2 linked regions of the Canis lupus familiaris genome follow. The protein of the gene in region 1 purifies or fractionates together with the protein of each later gene. This does not show direct contact. Links are inferred from orthologs where the notes say so. Each region holds a gene or a part of one and is shown in the gene's direction. Other genes may lie near its edges.

The links. The genes of interacting proteins can lie anywhere in the genome.
Region 2: the proteins of SLAMF6 (region 1) and SH2D1A purify together in Homo sapiens (co-immunoprecipitation; 5 studies listed by BioGRID and IntAct, with this or other methods). This does not show direct contact. The link is inferred for Canis lupus familiaris from reciprocal best matches to the Homo sapiens genes SLAMF6 and SH2D1A.

The regions. Positions count from the first base shown.
Region 1 is NC_049259.1:22,567,096-22,574,218, forward strand, and holds the start of SLAMF6 (SLAM family member 6), read left to right. Parts: upstream 1-3,148; 5' UTR 3,149-3,237; coding exon 3,238-3,286; intron 3,287-7,123. UniProt on the Homo sapiens protein: Self-ligand receptor of the signaling lymphocytic activation molecule (SLAM) family.
Region 2 is NC_049260.1:96,499,108-96,506,232, forward strand, and holds the start of SH2D1A (SH2 domain-containing protein 1A), read left to right. Parts: upstream 1-2,624; 5' UTR 2,625-2,821; coding exon 2,822-2,958; intron 2,959-7,125.

The DNA.
Region 1 (7,123 bases):
GGGTAAGAATGGTAATCAACCCATTTCATGTCCTCAATTAAATCATAAGAAAATAAAGGAGATGGGCCAAGGAAAAATTCTGAACCATTTGAGAAATGCTGTGATTTGAATAATAACAAGAGCAAATCACCTCCCCTGGTTTTCAGGAGGTTTGGGAGAGTTCTTCAAGGAGGTGATATCTTGTATATGAAACTGAGCTACAGACTATGAGAGACTTGCGGATGCAACCAAACAAGCCCTCGTTTTAAGGAGATCATGGCTTTGAACCAAAAATAAAAGGTGGGTAAATGAGGTATTGGATAAAAAGTAAAAATATCAGCTGATATTCAAAGGACAAGGGGAAGCATTTCAGAAAAAAAGAGATTTTTTTTTCATTCAAAAATTCCAGAGCTGGCAAATGGCCAACAGTGTCACTTACCAAATTCTAGGCAAGTGGGGAACAAGAAGGCATGGCTCACATACACGGGGAGCTCAAGAGGGCATCTTTCAGGTATTTACACCCAGAGACAAATGATATCATTCAAGGATCTCTCTCTCTCTCTCTCTCTCTCTCTCTCTCTCCTCCGTGATTCTCATGATCTCCGCTCCTCTGTGAGTGGCAACCTAATTCTTTTCTCCTACAAGCACCCCTAAGCCAGCATCTTTAAACCTTAGCAATGCAGATACAAAATCATATCTCTTAACACTCATATCAGATATAATAAACGACTCTAAAAATGTTTTGCTGTTAAAAAAAATGCTAACTGTCATCTGAGGTTTCAGCGAGCAGTAATCTTTTTGCTGGTGGAAGATCTTGCCTCCGTGTTGGGGGTTGTTGACGGATCAGGATGGTGGTTACTGAAGGGAGTGGAGGTGCAAGTTCTTAAAATAAGACCACAATAAATTTCGCCACGTTGAGTGATACTTCCTTTCAGGAATGGTTTCTCTTTAATAGCATTTTACTCACGGTAGAACTTCTTTCAAAGTTGGAGTCGATCCTCTTAATCCCTGCCGCTGTTTTATCATTTTTGTTTACACCATATTCTAAACACTTTATTGTCATTTCGACAATCTTCACAGCATCCTCACCAGGAGTAGAATCCATCTCAAAAAAAGAAAAAAAAAAAGCATTGCCTCTGCTCATGCATAAGAAGCAACCCCTCATTCATTAACATTTCATCAAGAGATTGTAGCAATTCGGTCCCATTTTCAAGCTCCACTTCTGATTCTGGTTCTCTCGCTATTTCCACCAAATCTGCAGTCACTTCTTGAAGCCCCCAGAGACATCCATGAGGGCTGGCATCAGCTTCTTTCAATTCCTGCTAATGTTGATATTTTGACCTCTTTTCATGAACCGTGGATGTTCTGAACAGCATCAAGTGTGATGAACCCTTTCCAGAAGATTTTCAATTGACTTTGCCCAGATCCGTCAGCCGAGTCATAATCAATGGCAGCCACGGCCTCACAAAAACGGATTTGTCAAATAATAAGACTAGAAAGTCAAAGTGATACCTTGCTCCATGAACCGCAGAGAGGGTGTTGTGTCAACAGGCATGACAGCAACACTGATCTCATTGTCCGTCTCCATCAGAGCCCTTGGGTGGCCAGGCGCATGGTCAAGGAGCATCAATATTTTGAAAACAATCTTTTTTCTGAGGAGCAGATCTCGACAGCAGACTTAAGACCTTCTGTAAACCATGTTGCAGACAGACATGCTGTCATCCAGGCTTTGTTGTGTCATTTCTAGAGCCAAGGCTCTAGTAGATTTGGCATCATTCTCAAAGGCTCTGGGATTTTCAGAATGGTCAACGAGCACTGGCCTCAGCTCATAGTCACCAGCCGCGTTAGGCCCTAGCAAGAGAGGCAGCCTGTCCTCTGAAGCTTGGAAGCCAGGCACTGACCTCTCCTCTCTCGCCAGGAAAGCCCTAGATACCTCCTCTTCCACTATAAGACTGCTGTGTTCACACTGCAAACCGTTGGTTAGCTTGGCCAACTTGGGTGATTCCCTCAGCTAGATCTTCGGAGGACGTGCTGCTTCATCTTGCACTTCCATGTTACGGACACGGCTTCTTTCTCCTCGCCTCGCAAACCAACCCCTGCTAGCTCCAGACTGTGCTCCCGCAGCTCCCCTCTCTCAGCCTTCACTGAATCCAGAGAGCTCAGGCCTCGCTCTGGACTAGAAACTTCGGCTTAAGGGGATGTTGTGGCTGCTTCGGTGTTCTGACCAGACCTCTCAGACTTGCTCCACATCTGTAATCAGGCCATTTAGCTTTCTTCTCCTCCTGTGTTCACTGGAGAAGCACTTCTAATTTCTTTTAGGAATGTTTCCTTTGCCTTCACAACTTGGCTAACTATTTGGTGCCAGAGGCCTAGGCCTTCCCCCGTCTCCACGTTGGACGTGTGTCCTCACTGAGCTTCATCACCGCTAGGTTTTGATTTAAAGCAATGGATGTGTGATTCTTCCCTTCACCTGAACCCTTACAGGCCATTGCCGGGTTATTCACTGGCCTAATGTCAATACTGAGGGAGAGAGCGGCCGTCGGAGGAGCAATCAGCACACACGCGGTACCTACCGATTAAGTTCACCACCTTATATGGGTGCGGCTCATGGAGCCCCCAAACAATTGTAATAGTAGCATCAAAGATCACGGATCAAAGATCACCATATAAATATGATAGTGAAAAAGTTTGGAATATTGCAAGAATTGCCAAAATGGCACGCAGCAAGGAAATGCTGGAAAAACAGCACCGATAGACTTGCGTGACCCAGGGTTGCCTCAACTCTTTAATTTGGAAAAAAAAAACACCATGTCTGCAACGCGGCACAAAGAGGAGTGCAGCAAAACGAGGTGCGCCTGTAATGTTGGGGCGGCCCCACACTGTGAATGCAAGTAATGCCACTGAATCGAGCAGTTAAAACAGTAACTTTTAGGGCCACCCGGGTGGCTCGGTGGTTGAGCATCCGTCTTTGGCCCAGGGTGTGATCCCGGGGTCCTGGGATGGGGTCCCATGTCGGGCTCCCTGCATGGAGCCTGCTTCTCCCTCTGCCTGTGTCTCTGCCTCTCTCTCTCTCTGTGTCTCTCACGAATGAATAAATAAAAATCTTTTTACAAAATCAAGCCCGCAGTGTGCAGGAAGAGGCGTGCGCCACTTCTGATAGGATGAGGAAGTTTTCGTAAGAGCACTTCCAGTCTGTGACAGGCGGTGCAGGCAGCCCGGGCCAGCCGAGCCCCCGCAGCAGCCTGGGCGGCTGACAGCATGCTCTGGGTGCTCCTGCTGCTCCCACTGCTCCTCCTCCTCCGGCCAGGTAAACGCCGCCGCTGCCTCGCAGCCACCGAGGGCCTCCGGGCTTTGCGCAGCTTGCTCCATCTAAGTCACTTGGGCATACCGTCTGTCTGTCTGTCTGTCTGTCTGTCTCTGCCGAGGGATGGAGGGACCGGGTGGGCCTGAGAAAGTGCCACCTCCTGTCGGTTAGCACAAGACGCTCCCAAGCTCCCTCAGGGATCACGGCTCCACTCGTGTCCGCGTCCACGGGCGGCTCTGCGGGCACAGGGAGGGGAGCTTTTCCTGAGAGCAGACTACCTGGGCCTGGGGTCTGGGGCCAGCGTGCTGTGATGCAGGAGAGTGGCCCCTCCTGCCACTTGGCTCCCGTCTTGCTCTGTAACCTCAGGCAGGTGGCTTATTCTTCTTGAACCTCACGAACCTCAGCGAAAATACTGAACATCCAGGGTTCGGTGGAACCGAAACTTCTGGGCACAGTTCAAACACCAGAAATAGATCTATTAGTTTTTGTTTACTTTGAAAAAAGATCTCTCCCTTCCTCTGATGTAAATCAGGGTCTAGCCAGTCCAGCAGGACTCTCTGTGACCCAGAGAGAGGGGTCCTGGTTCCCCGCAGTCCGTCACATGGAAAGCACGAAGGATGTCGTGCTTGGGGAACCACAGGTGGCTACTGGAGCCAGAGTATAGGATTCAGGGACAGATGGCCCAGGAGACAAGACAGGAAAGCTAGGCCAGAACTAGCTCAGGGTAGCGGATAAAAATAGCTGTCTTCTTTGAGGGTGTGTTCTGTTCCGGGCCCTGGGCCAGGTGCTGCGCACTCTTTACATACATGAGCCTCAGCACAGACCTCTGCGTTTGCACTGTATTGACCCCATTTTAAATGAGGCGCCAAGAGGATTTCAATAACTTGCCCAAATTGCATTAGCCAGCAGGTGGCAAGCTCTTGCAACAGTTCTGAGAAACAGTGACCGCTGACCAAGCACAGCAGTAGCAGAAGACAAAACACAGAAGTGAGAGAGTCACCATAGATGTAGAATGAACTAGATTGACTGGCAACAGCAGTGAGGGGAAAGCATTAATTTTCTAGTTTCTGGGGACACTAGATCAGAGCAGGTGAAAAGTCCTGACCTTGCGGAGTTCACATTGAGGCAGGGAAACAAGATGAATAAGTGAAATGGTCTGTTGCACAAGGATAGGTGACAGATGAGCAGAGCAGGGAAAGAGGGGGTGGAAAGGGCAGGGAACTTTCGGACAGAGTGGCCCAAGGTGACAAAGTTGGGTGACAAAGGGGAGCAGAGGAGGGAGCAGCCATGGAGATGGTGAGCTCAGTTTGGGACCTACTAATTTTAAGACATCAGTGTGCTACCCAGGAGATTTCCGGAGAGCTCCTGGAGATTGAGGACTGCAGGCCGCAGGCTTGGAAGTCCTGGCGCCAACTAATGAACAAAGCCTAGGAGAAAGTGCAAGGAGGACAGAGCCAGGGGCTATAGCGTAACCGCAGAAGGAGGGGGGATTTGTTCTATACTCAAGAGCCGCTCCCTGGCCTGGGGGCGAAGCCCCACATCTTTGCTTCCCTTTTACCTCCGGGCAAAATTCATTTTACCACCATGAAATGAAATATTCAGAATGTCCTCAGGTTACAAATCCCCTGCTCCTCCCCATTTCCATTGCTAGCTGTCACAGAGATCCTGTGAAATAGACACTGTCATTCCCACTTCGGGGAAAGAGGAAAGAAGCCATGTGACACTTCAGTAACTTACTTCGTGTCACACAACTATGGGTTGGGGTGGCACCGCAGGCCGCGGTGCAGAAAAGGAGACGTTTGTGAATGCACTTGCAGTGTTCTGAGCGCAGGATGGGGGCAATGAGTGCCGAGGTTGGAAATCAGGGAGCCTGGCTCCGGGGGTCTGTGCTCATAATCACCCGCTATGCTACTTATTATTACATAAATGGATATATATAACCACACACACATACATATATGTATGTATAAATGTGTGTATATATGTGTGTCTGTGTGTGTATATATATATTTTATATATATTTATAAATATATATATATAAAACTACAAAATGTGTATATATAACTACAAAATGTGTGGCGAGGAAGAAAATCGGCAGGGTACCCTGAAACAAAAAAAAAAAGCAAGGGGATCTGCTTTGAGTGGGGTCAGGTGAGTGCAAAGGTCCTCTGCTGGGAAGAGTTTGAGGAAGGGAAAGAGATCTGCCGTGGCAAGGATATGGCACAAATCAAATCAATTTTGAAAAACAGTATGAAGGAAGATGATTCGTGCCATCCTACCATCTTCCCAGTTGGTCAGACACCATAACTTGCTATTTTTTTTAAAAATTAACTGAGAAGATGAACCATGTTGAGAAATAATCCCAAGAGGTATAACTGAAATCAGGTATCATCATGCCCTGGAGAAAATGAATCGCATTTGTTTCTCCATTGTATCCTCTCTAGATGGGAACTTATCAAACACTAATATGCATTCAAATTACTAGGGAATCTTATGATACTGATTCTAAATGCGGACAAACATTCTGCATTTATTTTTTCAAGATTTTATTTATTCATGAGGGACATGGAGAGAGAGGCAGAGACACAGGCAGAGGGGGGAAGCAGGCTCCCTGCGGGGAACCCTACGTGGGACTCCATCCCGGTACCTGGGGATCATGCCCTGAGCTCAACCACTGAGCCACCCAAGTGCCCCGCATTCTGCGTTTATAATAAGCTCCCTGGTAACGCCAGTGTTGCTCCGTGAACCACACCTTGAGTAGCAAGGTTCTAGATTTCATGGGATTTTAGTCATTTTGGGGTTGAAGGAAGGGAGAAATAAGAACTAATTCTTTGAGTACGTTGGCCAGAAGCAGATGGGGGTATCCTGATGTTGAGGAGAGAAGTGGTTGCAAGTGTAGGCAGAGCCCATACGGGGGAGCTAGCCATGTGATTCTGAGGTCCTGAGTTAAAAATTGGTTTCTGCGGAGACATTGAGACATCGTATCCAATGGCTCCCTTCCCCCGAGCAGTGTCGGCTGCCTCTCTTACCAACCATCCACACCTTCCAAGGTTTACAGTTGCTCCTTATTGTTCACTGCGGCAGGGAGTTGTTTTGCATTTTGACATTATCCTCAAGGACAACTGTGCCTTTCCACCTCTCAGAGTCTGAGGTCTGTCCCCATGTGTCCTCCAGCCTCCCACCCCCAAGGTGGGAATGGAGACCCCTCAGCTGGGTCTCTCCATCTACAGGCAGACTTTCTTTCTTTCATCAAGGTGAAATTCACAAAACTTAAAATAATAACTTTTAAGTATATAATTCAGCGGCACTTAGTACATTCACAATGTTGTGCAACCACCGCTTTTATCGTCGCAAAACAGTTTATCACCCCGAAAGGAGACTCTATGTCTGTGAAGCAGGAATTTCCAATTTTGCCCTTCCCCTGACAACCCGCTGCCCCCTGGCAAGTACTAACTGGATTTTGTTCTGTGGGTTGACCTATTCTGGACATTTCATGTCAGTGAAATGGTACAACATGTGACCTTTGTGTCTGACTTCCTTCACTTAGTATAATGTTTTCAAGGTTCATTCATATTGTGTCACGTATCAGCACTTCACTTCTTACTGTTCCATAATATTCCATTGTATATATGTACCACGTTTGATTTATCCACTCATCTATATAGATGAACACTTGGGTTATTTGTACCTTCTGGTCTTGTAAATGGTGCTGCGATGAAGATTTGTGTGCAAGTATTTGAGTACCTGTTTTCAATTCCAATCCATTCTGGACCACATGATAATTCTATCATGAATCTTTTGGGGAGTCACTAAATAGTTTTCTACAGAGGCTGGTCCAGC
Region 2 (7,125 bases), on another chromosome or scaffold:
TTTTAAATTTCTTTTTATTGGAGTTCAATTTGCCAACATATAGCATAACACCCAGTGCTCATCCCATCAAGTGCTCCCCTCAGTGCCCATCACCCAGTTACCCCAACCCCCCGCCCACCTCCCTTTCCACCACCCCTTGTTCGTTTCCCAGAGTAAGAGAGCCATTTCAAACCCTGTTTCTCTACCCTTCAAGTTCTGAATTTGCTAAAAAGTCAGGTTTAGTACTGGTGTTGCACTAGGGTGAAGATGTTGGTATTTTTCATCAACACTGCAATAGTGGGCCGGCCCAGATGTCAGCTTGCTTGTGAGATGACAATGATGTGCTAGATGTGAGAGTTGGACTATTACCTTATAATTTATCTGTTCTTTTTTTATACGAGTTTAGTTGTGCTGAACTCCCTTGTACCTGGCTGCTTTGACAGGTATGCTATTTTAGCAACACAAAACCAAACAGAACGAAAAGAAGAATGCATGGTACACTTTCGCTGTCAGATCCAGGTTGCTCTGTTCCTAAGTTTGGGAGTAATTTGTTCAGGGTTGTTCAGAGACAAAACAAAACAAAACAAACAAACAAACAAAAAAACCCAACAAAACCAATCAAAACTTAGGTTTCCTTTTTACCCATGTGACACAATGTTCTCACGTTCACCTTGCAGGTGGGCTGTTGTCCCTATGGACTGAAGGAGGAACTGGATCCCCTTCCCCATCTTCCTCTTTCATGTCTGAAATTCCACCATTGTGATGAACTTCTCGGGGCTAATCATCTGCCAGCTCAAAATATTGAGAGCTCAGGGCGGACTGACTTCTCAAGACCTTAACGTTGACATATGCGTTCACTTATTAGAACGATTTCTTCCTTGACCCAAAGCATGAAGGGTGAAAGGTGGACTTGGCCATAAACAAGTGAGGTAGAAAGATGATGAGACAATCCTGGCTCAATTCCCCAGAGCGACCCCCAAATATCATCTTGAATGCTGTTTTATTTTCTTTGTTTAGCCTTGGTGTTGTAAGAGGCTTATGTTTACACTTCATCTACTAAGGTTGATAGATTCTAGGGCTGGGCATGCTTCAATCAAGAAGGAGAGACATGGGGAGCCTGGTGGGCTCAGTCAGTAGAGCATGTGACTCTTGACCTCAGGTCATGAGTTTGAGCCCCACGTCGGGGGTAGAGTTTACTAAAAAAAAAAAGAAAAAAAGGTGAGTCACTACTAGCTGCCATGGAAATTTTAGAAGATTGTTCTCAACCCTAGTGTGTGGCAAACAAATATCTGGCTGTGGTGCAAGGTAGCTCTGTGCACCCGATCCATTAGTAGGGCATGTGATGATTTAGAAATTGTTCTCCCAGTCTTGAGCTCCCAGCCTCACCATGACTTCAAGGAACTAGGTGTTGAAGTTGTGGAAGAGATGCAACAGACACCTGGCTTCAGTTATTTAAATTTCAGTTTTACAAGTATTTTACATAATTGAAAAGAAAAATGTAGAAGACCATCCAGCTTCAAGCATTAAAGTCTTATTCCAGTGAAAAAGGGGGAAGTTTTGGGGAAATATTACTTAACAGCACATTTTAAAATGGAAGCAATGTTTTATTTCAGAGAAGAAAATAAAAATTGAAAGGCTTTAAAAAATTAATGATAGTTTAGCATCAACTGGAGGAAAAACACTCTATTAACGACAGAGGATAAAATTATTGACGCTTGTGATGTGATTTAAAGCAACTTTTATGCCCCAAATGCTGAAAGGTAGGTCCTGTACATCAAAGGGCATAAACAAGTCCACATAAAGACAAAGCACCGGGATCCCTGGGTGGTGCAGCGGTTTGGCGCCTGCCTTTGGCCCAGGGCGGGCGATCCGGGAGACCCTGGATCGAATCCCACATCGGGCTCCCGGTGCACGGAGCCTGCTTCTCCCTCTGCCTATGTCTCTGCCTCTCTCTCTCTCTCTGTGTGTGACTATCATAAATAAATAAAAATTTAAAAAAAAAAAAAGACAAAGCACCAATGAAATGATGCTTTCTCTCATCGAAAGCTCATCAAATAAAAAAAAAATGGAACGTCTTCACACATAGACTGATTTTTGTTCGTCAATCAGCACTCTGGGATCTTGGCCAAGAAAGTAGGAAAAATCAGTGTTTACTCAGGATCAAGATTGCTCAAGATGACTAGGAAGAGTAGAAAAGGAGACTTGCCCCATGTTGGTTTTTCACTGACTACTTCTGATTGTGTAGGAGCCTCTGGCTGTGCTCAGGAATGACTGCACACTGATAGTTCTGGTAGTTTCTGTGTTTTGGTCTCAGAGCTTTAGGTTCTTTCATTCTCTGTCAGCATGTTTCTGCCCCACAAGAAGGCCATGTACACCTTGCCTCTATCATCAACCCTTTTGGGAACTTAGTTAAGCTAAGTCATCTCTGGTGGCCCCTGGGAAAACTGTAAGAGTGGAAGCATTAGCAAGCATTCCTGTCTGTGTGCCAGAGTCTGCCCTGGTAGTACAGTCCATATCTTGCCAGGACATTCTTCCAATTGACCTCCCTTCTCCTTCCGAACCCTGTGTGTAGGGTGGGGTAGGGTAGGGCGGGGAGGGGGATTGAACCTTGTGGCAATAACCAAGCTTCTAAATTGCTGAGCTGGTTTTAATTGAAGTGTGAGAAGGAGGTTTTAAGGCAGAGAGACAACATCCTGTTGTTCGGGTTCGGGTGCTCCTCTCTCTTTTTCTGCACATCTGGCTGAACTGGGAGTCAGGTGGCTGACTCCGGGCCCGGTTGCAGCAGCAGTGGCATCTGCCCTCCACTGTCCCACGCCTCAGCGGCCCAAGAGTCCACCAGGCCATGGACGCGGTAGCCGTGTACCATGGCAAAATCAGCCGGGAGACCGGGGAGAAGCTCCTGCTTGCCACGGGGCTGGATGGCAGCTATTTGCTGAGAGACAGCGAGAGCGTCCCTGGCGTGTACTGCCTGTGTGTGCTGTGAGTATGTCGCGGTGGCCGCAGGCTCCAGGCCCCATGAGGGCACCGGCCGGGGGTGCAGGCTCATGTGAGGCGTTGAGGCCTCCTCCACGGCTCATGTGACGGCGCCAAGGCCTTCCCACGGTCCAGCTTAGGGGGTCGTGCTTTGAGGCCCCTCATGGGGCTTTCACTCCCAGGGCCTTCACTCTCCAGAAGGGCCTCCCTGGGTCTTTTGTGGCAGCTGCAGAGAATGCCCTTTGGGGTGGGGAAACGCAGCCTAGAATCTACCTTTGCTCTGAGAAAGATCCAGGCTCCCAACTTCCAGTTTTGACCTTTAGTCGAGGCCAGCTAGGTGGAGCCTTGGCATGGTGGACTGGCCAAAACTGGGGCCACCAGCTCCTGAGGAAAGGAAAGACCTCTCTCCAGATCCCTTTAAATGGAATTGGAGGTGTCCTCCCAAAGGAAACCATCACATTCTGGGAGAGGAAGAAGACTGAGAAACGGAATCCGTGACTTTAGGAGTGCAATTCTGGTTAGGTCGGGGTGCCAATCGGGGTATTTGTAAGTGAAACTGCCTCTTGGCATCTGCTTACTTCGCTTCTTTGAGAGAAGCTGTGTGTGGGGGCAGAGAGTTTCAGAGGTAGGACCCTTCTTGATAAAAAGCTAGGACTGACAGTAGTGGTAAAGGGCATGGAGGGAAAACACCCTTGTTATGATTCAGCTTTGCCGCTTGCCTAGGCATGCCTTAGTCTAACACCCATTTTAAATCAGATGTACCTTCATCTTTGCCTCAAGGGCTCCGAGTCAGGGAGATCTGAGACCTAATCCTGTGCTAGTCTGATGGCAGGCTTGTGACCTTGGCAAGTTGAACTCTCAGTCCTTCAGTTTTCTTGTCCATAAAATGAGTATAATAATACGACCTACCTCATAGGATGGCGAGGATCAAATGCAGGTAAAGAATTTAACACTGGACTTGACACATCATAAATGTCCAGTAAATGTAAGCTATTATCATTATTATTGTATTTTTCTCCAGTTGAGTTCTTTCAGTACTCATGGCACATTTCCAAGGAAGGACCTAGCTTGATCACTTTGTGTCACATGTGAAACACCTGTGCTGTGTAGTCGGTTCTAGTCAGAAACAAAATGAAGGAAAATGCTTGGTAGTAATTTTGATACCTAATGATACACTGCAAGATTGTGAAGTACTTTTTGGGTCCGTGAAAAAAGATCATGCTGAGGCTGTTATTAGATGATTTTCGTTTATTTTGTTTATTTATTTTTTTAACATGGTCAGGCCAAGTTTGTGGCAACTCTCAGGCCTTGCTAAGTACATTTATTATAAAGACTTCAAGAGAACATGTGGAAGCACTTGACTCTCTTGGGCTCGGATCTTTTTTTTCCTTTTGCAGTACAGTTGTCATACAGCGTTATATTAGTTTCCAGTGTACAGCATAGTGATTTGACAGTTCTACACACTACAAAATGCTCACCACGGCAAGTGTAGTCACCATTTGTCACCATACAAAGTTATTACAGTGTTGTTGATTATATCCCCTAGGTTATACCCTTCATCTTTGTGACTTATTTATTTTATAACCAGGAGTGGGGTGAGGTGGGGCGGCGGGGGTACAGATTGAACCTGTGTCAATAACCAAGCTTCTAAATTGCTGAGCTTGTTTTAATTGAAGTGTGAGAAGGTACTAGAAATTTGGACCTCTTAATTCCCTTCACCTATTTTGCCCATCCCCTCACCATCCCTCTCCCCTCTGGCAACCACCAGTTTGTTCTCTCTCTGTATTTAAGAGTATGTTTGTTTATTTTCTTTTTTAGATTCTGCATGTAAGTGAAATCATAAGATATGATATCATATGGTATTTGTCTTTCTCTGACTGACTTATTTCACTAGTCTCTAGCTTCACCCATGTCATTGCAAATGGCAGGATTTCATTTTTATGGCTGAGTAATATTCCTTTCTATATATTATACCACCTCTTCTTTATCCATTCATCTGTTTTTTAAAAATAACTTGTGTTTTTTTGTTTTTGTTTTTAAAGATTTTTATTTATTTATTCATGAGAGACACAGAGAGAGGGAGGCAGAAACACAGGCAGAGGGAGAAGTAGGCTCCTTGCAGGGAGCCTGATGCGGGACTTGATCCCAGGACTCCAGGATCACATCCTGAGCTGAAGGCAGGCCCTAAACCACTGAGCCACCCAGGGATCCCTCCATTCATCTGTTGACGGACACTTGGATTGCTTCCATATCTTGGCTATTGTAAATAATAGTGCAATAAACATAGGGTGCATGTATTTTTTTGAGTTAGTGTTTTTGTTTTCTTGGTGTCAATGCCCAGTAGTAGAATTACTGGATCATGGTATTTCTATTCCAACTTTTTTAAGGAACCTCCACATTGTTTTTTTTTTAAAAGACTTTATTTATTCATGAGAGACACAGACAAAGAGAGAGACAGAGACACAGGCAGAGGGAGAAGCAGGCTCCATGCAGAGAGCCTGATGTAGGGACTCGATCCCGGGACTCCAGGATCATGCCCTGAGCCGAAGGCAGGCTCTAAACCACTGAGCTATCCAGGGATCCCTCCACACTGTTTTCCATAGTTGTTGCACCAATTTACAGTCCTACCAAAAGTGCAAGAGGGTTCCCTTTTCTCCACATCCTTGCTGACACTTGTTACTTATTGTCTTTTTGATACTAGTCTTGGGCTCAGATCTTTATGATTTGCTTACGTTATTTTTTTCCCAAGTGGAAACTTGGGAAGGTCAGTGAAAGCCGCCTAGTATTCTTGGGCTCTTTTCATTCAAAAGAATGTGGTGGAAGGAGTGGGCAAGTGAAAGGGGCTTCTTTAGAGAGGCTGACAAAGGGGCTAATCAGCCCCTTAGCCTAGAGGCAAAAAAAGGAAGCCTGAGCAGGGGAGTAAGATGAGACAGTATGGCAAGATGCACCTAAAGACTCAGTCATGCTGGCCCCTTTGTTGTTTCTCAAACCTGCCAGCTGTGCTCTCTTCCCAGCATCTTTAGACTTTATTACTTTTGCCTCTTGCCTCAGAGACCACTTCCTTGACCACCCTATCTAAATTAAGTACCTTCTCCCTGTGCCTGTTATACTCTATGACTTTATTTTTCTTCAAGGAGCTCTAAACTGTCTGATATTTGATTGTTTACTTATGTATTGCTGTGTTTCTCAGCAAAATTGAAACTCAGTGAAGGCAGGGACATCGTCTCCTGTACAAGGAACACAGGCTAGCACATAATAGCCGTGATGAGGCACGTTACGAGGTACATGGTAGGCATTCAATAAATATTTTTGAACTAACCAATGAATTGCCAAGGCAAATACTCTTCTTCACTGCAAAGAGCTTATTTTATTTTTTAAAAGATTTTATTTATTTATTTGTTTATTTATTTATTTATTTTAAAGATTTTATTTATTTATTCATGAGAGAGAGACAGAGACATAGGCAGAGGGAGAAGCAGCTCCTTGTGGGGAGCCCGATGCGGGGCTCTATCCCAGATTCCGGAATTATACCCTGAGCCAAAGGCAGATGCTCAATGCCAAGCCACCCAGGCATTCCTGCAAAGAGCTTTAGACTGATAATCAGGCCAGGGTGTGGGCTCTGGGGAAGTCATTCAACTTCCCTGGGTCTTGGTCCTCATACCTACTAAATAAGGATTGTAATGTGTGCCTACCTTCTGCTGAAGATCACTATTGGAAAAATATGCAAAAGAAAAGGACTACCAGGATGCCTGGGTGGCTCAGTGGTTGAGCATCTGCCTTTGACTCAGGTTGTGATCCTGGGATCGGGGAACGAGCCCTGCATTGGGGTCCCCACAAGGAGCTGCTTCTCCCTCTGCCTATGTCTATGCCTCTCTGTGTCTCTCATGAATAAATAAATAAAATCTTTAAAAAAAGAAAAGAAAAGGATAACCTTTTGCTTATGTAGGCTTGACCACATAAGGAATTAACTTAGGCAGAGTGGGGATTTCTCGAACATTTAAGTTTTTACCCAAAGTGAATCTTGCATAAATGCAGTTTTTATGACTCTGAGTTCTCCACCCAAACCTTATGAAGTAGCAGATGGTAGTAGGCAAACTGGGAGTCTCCTAGCATGTCTTTTGATGGGCACACTGGGGCCTCAAGTCTTAGAGTGTGATTGCCAGACTGTGCTAC